Linked DNA regions of Astyanax mexicanus. The protein of the gene in region 1 interacts with the protein of each later gene in a pairwise test. Links are inferred from orthologs where the notes say so. Each region holds a gene or a part of one and is shown in the gene's direction. Other genes may lie near its edges.

What was found.
Region 2: the proteins of aggf1 (region 1) and mab21l3 interact in binary tests that used the Homo sapiens proteins (3 or more experiments, as listed by UniProt). The two-hybrid records come from large-scale screens. The link is inferred for Astyanax mexicanus from reciprocal best matches to the Homo sapiens genes AGGF1 and MAB21L3.

Annotation. Positions count from the first base shown.
Region 1 is NC_064424.1:23,657,110-23,666,190, forward strand, and holds the start of aggf1 (angiogenic factor with G patch and FHA domains 1), read left to right. Parts: upstream 1-5,723; 5' UTR 5,724-5,812; intron 5,813-5,898; 5' UTR 5,899-5,961; intron 5,962-7,779; 5' UTR 7,780-7,798; coding exon 7,799-8,206; intron 8,207-8,648; coding exon 8,649-8,748; intron 8,749-9,081. UniProt on the Homo sapiens protein: Promotes angiogenesis and the proliferation of endothelial cells. Able to bind to endothelial cells and promote cell proliferation, suggesting that it may act in an autocrine fashion.
Region 2 is NC_064418.1:7,059,941-7,068,716, forward strand, and holds the start of mab21l3 (protein mab-21-like 3), read left to right. Parts: upstream 1-5,511; 5' UTR 5,512-5,884; coding exon 5,885-5,932; intron 5,933-6,939; coding exon 6,940-7,080; intron 7,081-7,170; coding exon 7,171-7,242; intron 7,243-8,515; coding exon 8,516-8,776. Other genes in the region: dnajc28 (dnaJ homolog subfamily C member 28), read right to left, coding at 824-1,954.

The DNA of each region.
Region 1 (9,081 bases):
AGTTTTGCTGGTATGACCAGAAATATGACCCATTATGATTATGACCCATTATGATTATGGTATGACCCATAATCATCTGCTATTTGGGCATTCACCACTGATGACTGTAATCTTTGCAACACAATTATCTCTCCTCAGTCTATATCTGCTTTCATTTTAGTCTTTTTTTATCTGGCCAACTCATTTAAAACCATTCTGTAGTAATGTTATGAATGTACTGAAGCCCCACTCAAGAAATACAGTGATGTTTGAGTGGCAGCTGTGATGAAAGACAAGGTTAAACAACTGAGTGCGTCAACCACAATCAAGACTGACCTGCATGACCCAACATGTTGGAAATTTTATCATTAAAACCATTTTTCAACTTCTTACTTGGACATTTAGGCTATGTGTTTCTCTGTGCTGTGGCTAGGCTCCACCCCTTACCTGAGACAGAAGTGACTCAAATCTGATTTTTTGCTCAATGTGGCTCAGATATGATTTTTTTTTTTATGGCTGTGTGAACATGCCAAATCCGTTTTAGCCAAAGCCACTTTGCTCAAATCCAATTTTTGGCTCAGATCAGATTTGGCCATCGTGACAGTTTACAGTCATAAATGTAAGTGACCTGTATCTGTGTGTAATGTGGACGAATCTGTCCCTGAAACGCCTCACATGCGCACATTAATAAGTGTATAAACATCTCCTTCCTCACCAACAACAAAAAAAAACATATTTGAGAGACGGCTTGAGCTTTATAAAGGTGAAATGGATGTGTTAGCAGCTCATATGTGGACCTTTTTTTTATCTTTTACATGAGTGGAGAGAAAACAGCTGATCTGAAGTACATGTTCAGGTTGAGGAGGAGAAAAAAAGGGCAGGCAGTTTGCTTTTGCTGTTTTTACAGCTTTAGCTGCACAGCTGCAGCAAGAGATGTGTGGGTATGAGAGAGAGAGAAGCAGTCACAGAGGAAAGGTGAGAAGACAGACGTAATTGAAGGTATTAAATTTATAAAAAAAAAAGAAAAAGAAAAACTGAAAGCAAACACGGGTAGTTAAATGCGGGGAAAATGGGTAGTTAAATGAGGTGGAAAGTAATGAATTACATTTACTCACATTACTGTAATTTAAGTAGTTTTTAAAATAGGTAATTTTACTTTTACATTTTGACACAAGCAATTTACTTCACTACATTGGAAAACTCCCAATTACTGAGTAAAAAATAAAATGCTGGGAAAAAAATGACTGAATGTCTGAATAAAAAAAAATAATTGTTGTCCATGGCAGCGCAGCTGAACTTTTTCCAGCAGTGTTTATTACGGTTAGCGGGAGAGAAGCTATTTAAATCAGCTGGGGGAAGCATTGTTTTTAATGATAATTCCTTTTTAATGATAATGATAATTTGTTTTAATGATAAGTTTTTATTGGGAACATTAAACAATCGTCTTAAATGTTAAACAAACAACAGATAACAGTTAAAGCATAGCAATGGCAAGTTAAAAAATAATAATGAACTGTAAAACTATAAAAATACGGTTTATAGTCACATATGACCATACTTTTTACCTTTTTAACAGTAAAGAAAAAAATAATAGATCATAGAAACCTATGCCACTTGTTCTTAAAAATGTTTTATGGGGTGGTCTGAACAAACACTGCCTGAAAGGTCTAAATTATTATTTGGAATAATAATTCATTAAAAATATTTAATTTATGATTTGTACTTTTTTACATCAAATAATTAAAAGTAACTATGTAACTTTTACTCAACGTAAATTTTAAATTGAGTACTTTTTTACTTTTACTCAAGTAGATTTTTAGATGGGTACTTTTACTTGAGTAGAATTTTAGCAAAGTAAAGGTACTTTTACTTAACTACAAATTTTCAGTACTTTTTCCACCTCTGGTTAAATGTAAAAACACAATTAAACACAAGTAAACTAAACTACAAAAACAAGGAAAACCTAACCAAGATAACTAGATAAGGAAAACCACTAAGAAGACTTAACAGATTAAAATTAACTAAACAAAGAGAGAAGCAGGACAGGAACTGAAAAATACAAGACACACAAGGCTAAAGGTGTGACAGACGCATGTAGTGCATGCGTTAATGCAAAAAGACGTATGAATTCTGTTTTGACTGTTCACATTCATGTCACATGTCCATGGATCGAATGCGTATCTGATTTAGGAACACATATGAAAGTGGCTCTAATCTGATTTGAAAAAATCGGATCTGGCACGTTCACACAGCCATGAAAAAATCAGATCTGAGCCACAAAAAAACAGATTTGAGTCACTTCAGCCTGGTAATGTGAATGTAGCCTATATCAAATGCCTGTTCCTGTTTTTAGTCTGGTTTTATTGGCAATACTTCGCTTTAGGATCTAGACAAGCTCAAGCATAAATCAATGTGTATCAGCAGTGGATGCAACTTAAAGTAGCTAAAGTGGCTAATCATTGACTGAGACATTTCACAGAAGTGAATGCCGCCCACTTTAGCATTAGCACACAGCTATTAAAAGTTTGCTGGTTGGGATGATGCGCAATGCGCGCCCTTCATTTTCACCCTCACACGCTTTTCATGCAAATGTCAATTATACTTTGAGGCCATTTAACACAAGAGCTGGAGGAGAGGTGTCATAAATTTCACGTCCTGTACTCAGCCCCTCTCCATCCATTCACCGGTTCCCCTCACTCGGTTCCCCCGCGCCTCTTTGTCCCTCACTCTCTCTCTCTTTCTCTCCGTCTCTCCACCCCTCTCTCATTACGATCCCTATAAAGCAACTCAAGCCGTTTAACTCCCATTTCCCGTCCTCGCCTCTCTCCTATTACCGCTCCGTTCGCTGCTCGACTCGTGCGAACGCCATTAGCGGCTCAGGGCCCGAAACAGGTGCTGCCGCGCTGATAGACGTTCCTCATTACGGGCTGCGTCCGGAACCAGCGGAGCGGCTATCTGAGATATTTCGGAGACGTTATGAGATGTGGAAGTAGTAAAGTAGAACTCTGGAGGATCTGCCTGACTTGCCCAAGCTGCTCTTAACCCTTGTGGGCCTTGTTCACTTGATTCTGAAAAATTAAACGTGGTTCTGCTGCCCCCTTCTGGCAGTAAATGTAAGTGTAAGGTGCTGTTGCATCATGGATGCATCTCAATTGGTACTATAAGGTAAATTGCAAAATTAGTCTACAGAGGGCACAAAACCAAACCCAGCTGGCACACAACCGACCTTCAACGTTAAAATGTGCTTGAAATATGACTAAAGTAATGTATGTTGTTGTTTTAACGTTAAAACAAAGTTGAATCAAATATTTAATGTTAAATGGTTGTGCTAACGTTTAAAAGTTTACCGTTGAATCAACAAAATGTCCTCAACCTTCTGCCTTTTAATCAGCATTTTACATTACATCACCATATAATTTCTAAAAACGGTTGGACTGAAAAAGTGTTTTACTTCTTTTTGCAGTAACTGCTTTTTAAATTTAACATCATGTTCATGTTCTAATAGTTTTACTGTTTTAGTGTTTTTGAGAACAGATGTTGAATCAGATTGGTAGTGGACAGTAACATTCTTTATATACTCATGATGTAAGTTTATTGTTAACACTTTGTTAACCATAGGATTTTCTAGTTTAAGTAAGCTATGGTTTATTAAAGGTTGAACGTATGACGTTGAAACAATGTTGCTATATCATAACGTTGATTCAATCATAACTTCAGCGTTGATTAACATTGATACAACGTTTATTCAACGTTGAAATGCCAGCTGGGAACTGAACAGGTTTAGTCTTAACTAAATCTTAGTGGACAGTGTTGGGAGGTGAATTCATACTCCCAACATCGTACCAACCCAAACGAGAAAGAAGTTTATAGTTTAAAGTTTTATAAAAGATGTTTAAGTGATCAGTGCAAAAAAAAAAACTACTTAGAATTCCCTAAAATAATAGTTAAACCCCATATATTTCCCTTTTCAATTTGACATCAGATTATATAAGATATATATAGTTTTTACAGTGTTCTGAGTTGATTTTCAAGAAGACTAACATACATTACAAAGTGGAAGTCCGTAGGCCTCAATTATAAAGGGTGCGTACATATAAAAACAAGCCTGAAATGTGCGTGCGCAACATCTTACATAACAACTGTGATTTATAAAGAAATATTTGGCGTATATTTAAGCAAGGTTTGAGGCCGACCATATTCCATAAAAAATTGCGGAGAGAGCGGCAATTAGTGACATCATATGGTAAAGCACGGAATTGCAGGTAAATGCGTAAACCTTCCTCACGCATATTAATACGTACTGCATGTATCAAAATTAAAAACGTAAGATTAAAGAAGTTTAAATATAATAAAATATAAATATACTTGTTCAAATATGTTTTTGTCTGCATGTATAAAGTTTCAATGCTTGCGATATCTTATTCGCCATTATTTTTAATGCTAACTTGTAAATGTCACTCGTAAATAATTTCTATTTTATTTCTATTATCTGGTTTGTTTTGTTTCACAATTTAAAAAATCGGAAGGTGCTACATACAAACATTAGTATTGTATTTATTTTTGTAGTTATTATTATTATTATTGTTTTTATGATTGTAAATATTTTTGTAAATATTATTATTATTAGTAGTAGTATTATTTTATTATTATTAATGTTGTCGATTTGTAGAATCATAAAAGATTTTTTTGTGAATGATGATAATGAGTCGATTTAGGTTTCCAGTAGTCATTCTTATTGAACTGTGTGCTGAGTTGGGCACAGATTTTTAGAGACTAGTGTTACTCTGTAACAGTTCAGCTTGTGGAGCTACAGTATCACCTGCTGCAGACACATGTCGGCTAAAACCACTAAACAGCACATTCTTCCTCGCCTCGACCTCCAAAACAAGGATTTCTACTTCACAGTCTCCTAAATGTAACTTACTTGCGGTGCATTTCTCCGCTATCCCTCTCAGGATGAATGTGGAATCCCATATATAATATTAATTTAATGATTTGCGTGGTAAATTTGGGCGGTACGGAAGCGGAACACAAGGCTGGATAATTTGCGCATATTTTCAAGCAGGTTGTGATTTATAAAGCGGAAACTGCATTCAGGTGTGCCTACACACGCTGTTTTAAATCTGTTTTTGCGCCCATTTTCACTCCAGAAACTAAGCAGAGATATGTAGGTCAGGTTCCGGGGATGTTTGAGGCACGATACCACCGTACCTATTTACATAAAGACAGTGAGTGGTAAGGTTCCAAAGTGACAAAAAAAAAAGAAACCTGCCTCATTAAAGCGTCTCCTTCAGCACAAACTAACACCACAAAACCTGATTAACAAACATACAATACAATTCCTTACTTATTCGCCAAATAAAAAAGCACGGGCACCCCAAAGCATCATGGGAGCACTCCAATGTCACAATATTTGTCACTGTGTGGGACAGTGTTTGTGTTTTGTGTGTACCTTTTAATATATAAAAAAGTAAAAAGAATAGCAGTCTACAACACCAAACTGAAAATGTTTAGTCTTAAATTGTAGTAAACAAGGTTGGGAGATCGAGTCTCAATCCAACCATCCCAAACGAATTATTAAAATCTCGAATTAATATTTTTTTTCAAATGAAGTAACTGCCCCAAATTATTTTAGTTTTTATTTTATTTATTTATTCATTTTTAACATGTTTGATGAATGTGATTGTCAAGAAAAGTGTGATCCTCTCTCCTCCGGAACAGCAGGGGGCGGTAGAGCAGTAGATCAGTAGCGCCGCGCTGCGTGGGTAAATGAGCTGAGTTAAAATGGCAGCCTGGCTCGGAGTGGATTATAAACACATCGATTTGATTGATTGTAACTCATTTTCTGATCAAACTAACATGTACTGGGGTGTGTTTCGGACGCTGGGTGGTCCTAAGATGTTTATGTGTGATTCGCAGGTTGAGCTGAGGGTCGTGGCGGTGGTGAAGTGGAGAGTTTGGAGAGAGGAGTTCGGCTAAACGGTGAGAGAATCTGCTGCATTTTAACACAGCAACTCCTCCTGAGTTAGCTTTAGTTATTACTTCATGTTTACTTTTATATACAGATTAAATTTCCTTCTATTAAAGCTTAAACCACTATACTAACATTCTCTAAATAAAGCCAGTTTATATCTGTAACACAGGCAGACAGCCGACCCTGCAAAAAAAAGTGTAACCAAAATACAACCCCCATTTATAACCCATATAGCAAGATAACCTAGCTAAATATGTAAATAACAAAATATAGCACTTATAGGTTACCTAGCAAAGTACTTCAGTTAAAATAGAGACACCCAAGATAAAATATTACTACAGGTAAAGGTAGGTTCTCCCTGTAGATCTCCGCTTGTTTTATAATACTAATAATGTTTGCCTTTAGTTTTTTAATTAGAATTTTATTTTTGCAGAATAAAAAAGAAAACACAAAATGCAAATATAACATACAGTGCAGGTAGAGGCAAAAAAACATGTTAAAGGCTTAAATAAACCCTCTGCCTTAGTAATATATAAAAGAAAATAACAAAGATAAACCTTTAAAAAAACTATCAAATTCCAGATAACACAAAAAACAAAAACTGTGAATGTGTATCCATGCAAGAAAAAATATTAAGCATAATTTATCAAATTATCTTTTTGACGTCTTTTATAATGTTTGAGATCATATGTTGAGATCAAAATGTTAATGTTTGAATGATGATGTTTGTATACAGCTTTTTTGATCGAATGTTTGCTATTTATCACACATTAAAACAGATTTTCTAATCAATGTTTTTCCTCCCACTTAGAGTAGACTAAAAACAAGGAACACATAAAGAAACACAATATGCTTTGAAATAAAAATGCGTCTAAAGAAATTGCTTAAGAAAAGTATACATGGGGAGAACTGTTTGGCCTTATATACCATAAGATAACTTTTTTTGAAAACTCAATATATTACAAATATGTTTGTTTTGTACCTAGTAGGGCTGGGTGATATGAAAAAAAAAATCTACAATATGTCTCTATATTTATTCTACCCCATAAGGTAGTTTCAAAAAGACACTTTTGAGACAAATCTGAATGTTCCAGAATTTATACCGCCACTTTTATTATTACATTACATTTGGCAGACGCTTTTGTCCAAAGCGACTTACAATAGTCAAGTACAATGTAAAATACCATGTAAAATACCAATGTAAATACCATATCCTGTATATTTTAATAGCCTAGTTTTTCTAGGAGAATCTTTTCATCAATATCTGAAAGGCAATTACAGTAGTTAATTATAAACATATCGATATGAACAAAATTGTCTCATCTTATGTCTTGTATGAAAATATATTGATATTTCTTGAAATCTTGATATCGCTCAGCCCTACTATGCCAGACATTTCTTTTCCCTGAAATTTGATTTAAACAAAGAAAATATTTCATTGCTGAAATATGCAGACTTGTATAAAGTACTAGAGACTCAGACTTGAGAAAAAAGTCAAGTGCTCCATCAAAAAAAAATACTTTAGTAGCACCACGCCTAAGTGAAAGGACTGAAATATTCAACAAGTCATAAACTTAAGTATTGTGAGTAGTTAATTATAAAATATACTACTAAAGTACAAAAGTATTAAAATGTTGTAATATGTAGTTATAACCGAGACAGTGGAGATTTATCACTTCAAATTCGTTACCTCACATCTCTGGTTAACAGTATCATAATATATTGCAGTATATTGAATCATAACCCCTGTATTGTGATATATCTCTAAGTTTTTCCAGTATACAGCCTTACTTGTGAGTCTGAATACTCTGTTCACTGTTTGTTAGAGAGCAGAGAGACTGCGGGATGGCCAGTGATGCTGAGGAGATCTGCACCTCAGATCCGGTGGATCAGGAGATGCAGGAGAGTTCCAAGTCCACTGAGGAGAGTGTAGAGGCAGAGAAAACTAATGGTGGTCATATTGAGTCCTTGGCCCTGAATGAAGAAGAAAAAGAAGAAGAGAAAGAAAAAGAAGGAGAAGAATCTGTTCATGAGTCAGTTTGTCCACAAACAGCAGAACCAGTGTCTGATATATCCTGCCAGCAGGATGATGAGTCTGGATGTGAGGTTGCTGTTCTGCAAAAAGAAGTGGAGAGGCTGCAGAGGGAGCTAAAGGAATGTCAAAGTGAACTGCAGAAAGTGCAGAAGCAGCTCAGCCATAGCGTGAGACTCCAGAAAAGCACAGAGAGCTACAACCAGGACCTGAGACAGCAGGTAACACCCTTACAGCTCTGTTTATAGCTATCTTGGGTAAATAACTTTAGGTCTAAATTGTATCTCTGGTTGATTATGCATTTTACCGAGACCTTAAATATACACTAGGGAAGCACTGTTTGACAAGGCAGCACAACTTGGCAGAACACTGGTCAAGGCAGGTGCTGTTCAGATTTTATGATATAAAGTGGAAAAAACACAATGGAATGAGAACTTTAAATCGGTGGTTAGGTTCATTTTGTAATATGACTGCTTCAGCTTATCATATTACTTCACGTTAATAAAATAAAATAAGGTGCCTTATGAAACCACATTCATACCACATTGATAGACGAAAGAAGGATGCTGTAGTAATAAGCCATAATGAGCTCATCCCCCTGGTATGGTTGTAGCTTAAAAAGGTGATTTAATATAAGTTGACTCTCTGTTCTGTGTGTTGTAGGTTGAGAAGCTGAGTGTGGAGCTTCACGAACGGAAGAAGAAGGAGAAGAACCGAGTTGAAGCTGAGACTCAGACTGAGGAATACACCTGGACAGAAACAGGTTATTCAATACTGCCTTTACCATTACTCCTCTCTAATATACACACACTATTCATTCATTTATTCATTTGTTCTTTCAACAGTAAGAATATATTATAAAATATTGCTTAATAATGATTAATATTATTAAACATTTTGTGCATTAAATAAAATGCTGAAAGGCATAGCATAAACATATTATGTAAAATAATACAGTATAATATAAAAACACAAATACTAATTTGTCATTTTCTACAATAAAATAGGACAAATACTAGCTGAAATATAAAGTAGAAATAAATGTGTGTGTAACAGATTTTTAACAGTGCTTTTTTCTAGTGCACGAAAACCAAGC
Region 2 (8,776 bases), on another chromosome or scaffold:
AAGTTTAACTGCAGAACTGAATGAATGAAAATCTTGATGTCACAGTGTATGAGTGTTTCAAAATATGTAAATGAATAAATGCAAATATCATTGTATTGCAAATATATAATGCTCTATTTAAAGAGAAAATTTGTGACCTGCACAGCACACTACACAGGGAGTAGTGCACCTCCCTGTGGTGTTTAGATGTCTGCTACTGCTGCTCAAACCAGGGCTTGCATGCGCATGTAAGCTTTTTGTTGCTGTATGGACAAAAAAAATCAAATAAGAAAGCAGGAAAATGTCAGTTTAAAGAATGCAAGTGGAACTAAAGTGTTCAAATGTGATTGGACATTGCATATATTAAATGTTAAATATATTACATGTGTTAAAAATAATGTATCTCCATTTGGATTTTTTAACTTTTTCCGAAAAGTTGCTGTTTGGAGATACAAGCTTATATGTACTGCATTATAGTATTGTTTCTTGTCAGCCTCACTGAACTGTACCTTAATTTATCCAGAAACTATTCATACATCTCATTCTGGAATTTAAAAGGATTATATTTATAGTCTTTGCCTCTGGGTGGAAAAAAATAATCTGATCCTTTTTTAACTCTCTACTGATTTTAAATAAGCATCATTTTTATTTACATAATTGTGTTACATAACAGTGATATTTATGAGCTGATATTCATGTTACCGCCTTTTCTGATCCTCTGTATATCACATTAACTGTAATAATAAATGAAAAAGACTATTAAAGAGCTGTGAGTTGTGCGCTTATTTTAGACTTCAGTTCAAGACAGTATTGTGTACTACAGATATAAAACTCTGGGATATTTTTATTTGAGTAGACTCTGCATCCACATAATGAGTCCTTGTCTAGAGTTCTGCTTTGATGTGTCTGCTTCTTCACTGTCCTTCATGTGCTTCCTCTCCTGCTCCATCTTCTTCCTATATTCCTGGTCAGCTTTCATCACATTTTCTACCTCCCTGTTTGTATTAAAATGAACCATCTGCAGACTCATTAGAGGCACAATCAGGTTGAACGTGTCCACTTTTTTGTTGAGCTTCTTCAGATCATCTGTGAAATCTGCACAGTGCTCTTTCCACTGCAGCTGTTCAGAGTGCCTCATGGGGCTGCCAAGCCGGGACCGGACCTCCTGTAGTCTGTCCCGCAGCTTCTTAATGGTCTCTCTGATCTCCTTCTGGGCCACTATCCATTCAGGTTGGTAACCGTTGTCAATAAGGATCCTGTTCAGGTTGTGTGTCATGGGGTCAGAGAATGGGTTGTGGTCAAACTTGCTGAGTGGCTTACCAGCGCCACTCAGGTTGCGGAAGTCACCCCGGGCCATGGACTCCTGGATGAGGTCCTCCACCAGACGCTCCACAGCCTGCGTGATCTTGATCTGCTTGCTACGCATGCGTGCATCCCTAACCACCATGGCACCCTCCTCTGCTGCTGCCTGCTCCATGCGTTTACGCCGATATTCCAAGACCTGGTCTGTGGCCCTGTCCATCCTAAACTGCCGATACTGCCGCTCACGCTGGCTGGGTGTTCCAGAGCCCACGCCTTCAAAGCTGAGGTACTGCCTGTGCTGAGGGGCCTGGTTTTTAGTCTTGTCTTCCTCATCCTCATCCATCTGAGCATTTGATGACGCAGACCTCCGCCGGGCCAGGTGGGCCACTACAGCCCTGTAAGCTTCCTCTATGTGGCAGAACAATGCAGCATCTGCTGTTGGGGTTCCAGAGTCTGGATGATAGAGCTTGGCCATACGCATATAGGCCTCCTTTACTTCTTCAGGGCTGCTGTCTCCATCCTCAGGCAGCTGCAGGATGCGGTAGCTCTCTCTCAGGTTGCGGCTAAGTCGAGAGGCAGAGCAAAGCAGGCGTACGGTCGCAGCATTGTAGATGGGCAGCAGGACTTTATGGAGGTCCCCAGGGTGCAGGCGGAGCAACACAGAGCAGCTCATTGTGCTTTACACCAAAGGAGATTCTATAAGAAAGGAAATAATAGTACATAATTAAAAGTGTAATAAAAAAGCACTTGTGCAGTATAGAATTTATAACAGCACATGATTAGAAAAAAAGTACTAAACCAGGGCATCCAATCTTATACACAAAGCAAACGGACAACTGATTCCTCTGAAGTTACCAAGGTCCCTATTGTAACGTTCTTTGGGCCAGCCGTCAACCGTGTACGGCGCAATTGATTTAGGGTGTCAATGTGTCTTTGCTATCAGAATGACAGGAAAAGTACAACTTGTGCAATTTAAATGTTTAAAAAGCATATACTAATACTCTTAATTAATCATGGACGAGTTTGAGGCATAATGTGAAATAAACCAATCATCATGTCACTTGCCATTCCCTTTGAGAGCCAGGGTTAGCTAACCTAGCTCTGTAAGTTAGCTAACTAGCTAGCTACCTCAGTTAGGTTAGCTAGCTATCGCTGTAACTAACTAGTTAGCTAGCTCTGTTAGGTTAGCTAGATATCTTTGTTAGTTAGCCAACTAGCTAGTTAGCGCTGTTAGGTTAGCTAGCTAGCTCTGTTTGATTAGCTAACTAGCTAGCTACCTCTGTTAGGTTAGCTAGCTAGCTCTGTTAGCTAACCTAACTAACTTGCTCTATTAGGTTAGCTTTATAGCTCTGTTAGTTAACCAACAAGAATAAAATGTTGAAGTTGTCGACTAAAACCTAAAAAAACGACTAAAACTTAAAAAAAAAAGAACGAATAATATATAAATGACAAAATTGTGACTAAAACTAATTTTACACTAAAACTAAAATGCGTTTTATTTAAAAGACTAAGACTAAAACTAAATCAAAATCACCTTTAAAATTAGCAAAGATTCCACATAATCTGACAAAATGTACGTTATTTTTGAAAAAAAAAATATGATGATGATGAGGTTTGATTACCATATAGCGTTATACTATTTTAAAGTGTAAGTAAGACATCTGTGTAGAAATGGGAATTCGTTTAATTGAAACCTTCTGTCAGAATACGTATAAACGGAGCCAGGCATGCAGGTGGTAGATTAACCTGCAGCAACTTGATTATTATTAGACACAGTCAAACCTGTTACTCTCACATCAGAACAAGTCAGTAGTCCTCTGACCCAGATTCCAGTAACTCAGTTTTATTTATTACAGTCAGAGCTGTTCATAAATCCTAAAACACTGTCCAGTCCAGCAGAGATTTGCAGTATTTTACCAGTCAGTCAGGTGTAGCTTTCTTAACCTAGCTAACAGAGAGCTAACTAACCTAACCTAGCTGTGTTAGTTAACGTTACTGAACTGCATTTAAACAACACGGGCAGCGTGTCGCTACTCTATACTACACTATAAGCTCAGCTAACTGAGCTTTAAAACACAAGGACAAGAGTAGGTGACATACCTCAGTTTATTCTAAAAGCGCTTCCATTTGTAAAACGGCCGCTTATCTAAATGTCCTCAGATACCGTACAGACACGGTGGTTTGTTGTGGTTGGAGCGGGTGAAATGCATGCTGGGAACTGTAGTTTTTATTACGTATATTAAACAGTGACAGAGTCTGTTTATAGAGAGAGTGCCCACTCCATATGCCCCATTGATAAAGCGAAATCCAGCAATGACGCTGTAAAACAATCTTATACGAACTAGCTAGTGTAAATCAAAACCACATCAGTTATTTTGTAAGTAAATAAAGAAACACAGAAATAATGAGAAGATCTACATAACCATGAATTGGCTTCGAGCGTTTTAAAGCTTTTTAAGTAATTTACAACAAAAGGTTTAAATCTTTTTTAAGTAGTTTGAAAACATATTTTTAATATAGGTTTAAATAATTTAAATCACTTGTCAAAAAGATTCATTTTAAGTTATTTGAATCAGTTTTCAAAAAAAAAAAAATATTAATTTTAAGTAAGTTGAATCAGTGAATCAAAAAATATTATTTTTAAGTCGTTTGGAACGCTAGAGGGCGCCCGCGAGTGAGTACTCAATGAAAGGGTGTGAATGGAGCTAAACGACTAAAACTCTGATAAAACATTTTTCTAACTAGTACTCCATGGTATTCCTATAATTTTGGAAGGTAAATTAAAGTATTTTGCTAAAAAAGCAAATAATTTTATCTGTGTATTTCCATTTTTGGACAACAAATGAGTTTTGGACAACAAAGCCGCTAGCATTACTGCTACTGTGGGCTGACTGGTTGATAAGCTTAGGCTGAAGTAACAGCCAGAGCTCGTTTAAAAGGCTTCTAACTTCGGTCCAAAAGCAGAATAACTCATGTTATGAGAGCATGGATATATTTTTATCATAAAATATATAAAAAGCTTTATAAACTACAACTTTGCTTAAAAGTTTCCTCTGACCCTATTAATTTTAAGCTCACTCGAGATCGCCCCCTAGTGTCTGTGACAAATTCTCGAGTGGGTATTCTCTTTTGTAGAGGTTCTTTGGCTGTGCTATATTAGTTAAACACCAGAGGGCGCCACATATCATGCAGAAAATACAGTTCGGGAAAAAATAAAGAGACCACTTCAGTTTCTGAATCAGTTTCTCTGATTTTGCTATTTATAGGTTTATGGTTGAGTAAAATGAACATTGTTGTTTTATTCTATAAACTGCAGACAACATTTCTCCCAAATTTCCAAAAAATATTGTCATTTAAAGCATTTATTTGCGAAAAAAGAGGAATAGCTGAAATAAAAAAGATGCAGAGCTTTCAGACCTCAAATAATGCAAAAAAACAGATCATATACATAAAGTTTTAATAGTTCAGAAATCAATTTTTGGTGGAATAACCCTGGTTTTTAATCACAGTTTTCATGCATTTTGGCATCATGTTCTTCTCCACCTGTCTTACACACTGATTTTGGGTAACTTTATGTCACGTCTGGTGCAAAAATTCAAGCAGTTCAGCTTGGTTTGATGGCTTGTGATCATCTATCTTTCTCTTGATTAATATTCCAGAGGTTTTCAATTTGGTAAAACTGAAACTCAAAATTTTAAAGTGTTCTCTTTTTTTGCAGAGCTGTATTTATTCCCTTAAACTAAAAGAATTACTATAGCCTATATTATTACCCAGAAAACATGCCTCACATGCGAATGTTGTCTGCGTATGTATAACATAAATTGGTAGATAACCCAATAATTGTCCATTAGTTACATTAGTGAACTTATTATGATCTTTATTAAATTTTACAGTTTAAATAAATGGCACAAAAATAGTAAGTGTGATATTAAGAGATATAATACATCAATGAAACTAAATTCATATTTAGTACCAGATTTTATGAACTAACATTCATCATAATTGTGTGGGAGTTGGCTGTAATGATAGATATCCAGATGGTTTAATTACAGGCTAGATTACTGGCTGCGTAGGGCTAATGTGTGTTAATAGGGATTTTCTCCTGGATTGATGTCAACACAACATTTGTGAGAGTAGAGAACTGGAGTAGGGTCTGCCCCATACAGTCAGTGTGGTCTATCCATGCATATTCAGGTCATGTTCACATCTGTGCTCCCCTGGGTCCTAAAGAGTCTGAGTAGCTTCAACACTCAGAAATTCAGAAATAGGTTACTGGTGTCTGTTGAAGTCTGTTATAATCAGAGCACTTTATGCTATATTATATATAGCTGTGAGTTATATATAAACATCCCAAACAAGTGCTTTTTTTGACCTCACAAGTGGGTGATGTGTTTAAGGGCCTCACCAGGGCAATGCAGGATGTGTGCGTGAACTAGTGACCAATGGGAGCATTTTAACGTCTAGAAAAATCAATTTACTGAGATCAATCTGGTGAAGTGCTTTTCCGCCAGTTCCATCTGTGTTACATAGACCAGGACACAAATACACAGAGTCACACTCGGGTCTTGTCCGACAACAGAGCAGGACATACCAGAGCTGGAACATGACGAACTTTACAGAGGAAGATCTGGAACATTACTTACAAAATCAGGTACATTGAGGTTCTGCACTAACTGATAACTTAGTGATATCTGAAACAGTTTTTAAAAAGAAGGTTCAATTCTTTATTCAAACAGTTTGAATCAATTTTTGAAACGTTAGAATTAAAATCAGTTTAAATTATTTTTCAAAAAGATACATTTTAGTAGTTAAAATATTTTTTTTTAAAAAAGTAGTTTGAATATGAAAAATATGTATTATATTTTAAAAGTCTGTTAAATCAGTTGTCAAAAAGATTCATTTTTAGTAGTTAAAAATATTCAATTTTTTTAAAGTAGTTTGAATATATCTTTTAAAATAAGTTTTAATCAGTTTTCAAAAATATTAATTGTAAGTAGTTTGAATCAGTTTTCAAAAAGATTATATTATGTGTAAAGTAGTTTAAATATTTAAAAAATATATTATTATTTTTAATTGTTTAAATCAGTTGTAAAATTATTCATTTTAAGTAGGTTTGAAAAAGATTATAATATTTTTAAAGTTGTTTGAATATTTTTTTGGATATTACTTTTTAAAATAGTTTGAATCAGGTGTAAAAATGGTTCATTTTAAGTAGTTTAAAGCACTTTAAAATATATATATTTTTAAAGTTGTTTGAATCAGTTTTCAAAAAGATTCAAATCTTTATTTTTACTAAAAAGAAAATGACTGTAGCACGCTAGAGGGCGCCCGCGAGTTTAATACTTAATAAATGGGGGTGAATGGAGTTAAACAACTAATTCTCCATCACACTCCTTTAATTTTGGAAGATAGAATAAAGTATTTTTCTAAAAAGGACTGTCTATTTCAGTTTTATATTATACTGTGAGCTGACTAGATATCTTAGAAGTTAGGCTTTATTTTTGCTTGGTAAAACTTTATAATAAGGGTAACAAATATACCAGTTCTTACGGTAGTATAATGGTCATTTTTTTTCACTAAGCATTTGATATGTTTATGTTTATGGTAATTGTTATACAGCAGAGTGGTGATTTATTTATTATAGTGTTTTCCTCTCAGGTGGACCTCAGGCACAGACAGGTCTCCAAATCAGTAGAAGAAGTGCAGAAAATAATCAAAGACTTGACCACTGAGGTCAGCTCTAAAGATGCTCGCTTCCAATCCATCTCCAACTCTGGAGTTCACAATGACTGTTTTAAGGTAAAGCTTTTTCTCATCACTTTATCTGTGCATTGATTTATTAATTCTAGTACATTTATATACTGTAGCTTGTTTTTGCTCTCTCTGTAGGATCAGCCTGCTTTAGCATCAAAATGGGCTGCGTTACTTCGGGGAAGGTGTACCTTAAATCCGGCCATTCAGGTAAGGTATTTCTGATGTGACAGCGTTTATCACTCTTACAATATCTCTTATAAAATCTCTTACATCATATATGTTTAAAAAATTTAGGATCTATAACTAATAAAAGGAACAGAAATAATACCCTTGCTCCAGCGGAGCCACATTTACAATATTATAAAAACTAGTGCTGTCAACATTTACATGTTAATTACATGCATGCTACTAATCTGGAAACTTTACACTTATGCAAATTAATGGTAACGTTTTTGTGGTTTATTTATTAGTAAAATTATTTTAATCACTAATAATTACAGGATATTGACATCATTAATCAGATTTTTTAAAAATGATTGACAATTATATGTTTTATTACTTAACCCTTTGAGTAACGGTGGTCACTGTAAGAAACCTCCTAAAAAGGACGTTTATATATTTTCTGAAATTTTGAATTATTTCTGGGGACAGTTAGCATATAGCACACAGGAAGTGAGGTAAAAACTGTATCTTTTGTGTAAAACTGGGTCTGGCCCTGCTAATACTGATGTTTTGATAAGTCCAGTGGGTATATTATATGCTTATTTGATATTTTATTTTTTTAGAGCATGTAACTCAACCTGTAAGGAACCCAATCAAGGAAAACATATTAAAGTTATCATAATTAAATACAAATTGCAAAAATGATATATTCAATGCTTATACTTAGTTGCAATTTGTCCATATCGGTCAATCTGACATTCTGAAAGGAAATCTCCAGCACTGTAGATAAAACTGTCATTTTTTTGTTTGCTTATAACTGTATATTTATCTGTCTATGTCACTATAAATCTGTCACAGCTTAAATACTGCATGTTTAAGATTTCAACAGCCTGTTGCAAATCATGCTTTGCACTGTATTAAATATTTTGAGTGTACTTATCTTATATACAAGCTCATGACTTTTGTACAGACATATATAAATTACTAGAGAGTCAGACTTGAGTAAAAGTACTCTATAAGTGCTCTGTGGAAAAAGTCACTTATAAGTTGAAGTGTTCGTTAAGCCCCACAGTATTTTTGGAAGTATTAAAAATATTTAACATTTTTGTACTTAAGTATTGCGTAAGTAGTGTATTGTAAAATGTAGAACTGGAGTACTGAAAGTAAAAGTACAGTGCTGTGTTATTAGTGTAGTTATTACAGAAAGCAGTGGAAAGTTCTCAGAGTGAATTAAAGGCAGAACGGGAGCAGCTGCTCTGGCTTTAGTGATAATGCGAGTTTGGAATGATTCTATGCATCTCTGCTTCTGTACCTGCAGGTGCTGACTCCCACTCTGTTCCTGATCTCTGTGCCCGTGCGTGGCCTGATGGCCTATAAAGAGAGGCAGGCGCGGCAGTGGAGGTACTACACACTGAGCGGGTCACGCCTTCTCTCCCCAGTGCGAGATCCAGAGAAGTTGCACCAGTGGCTGGAGCTGGAGAGCTTCGCCAACGCCTCTCAGGAGTGGCATGACTCCCGTGTGATCATGGAGGGGGATATCGTTCCCGCTAAAGTCGTCACTGTATTTAAGGAGCAGGTA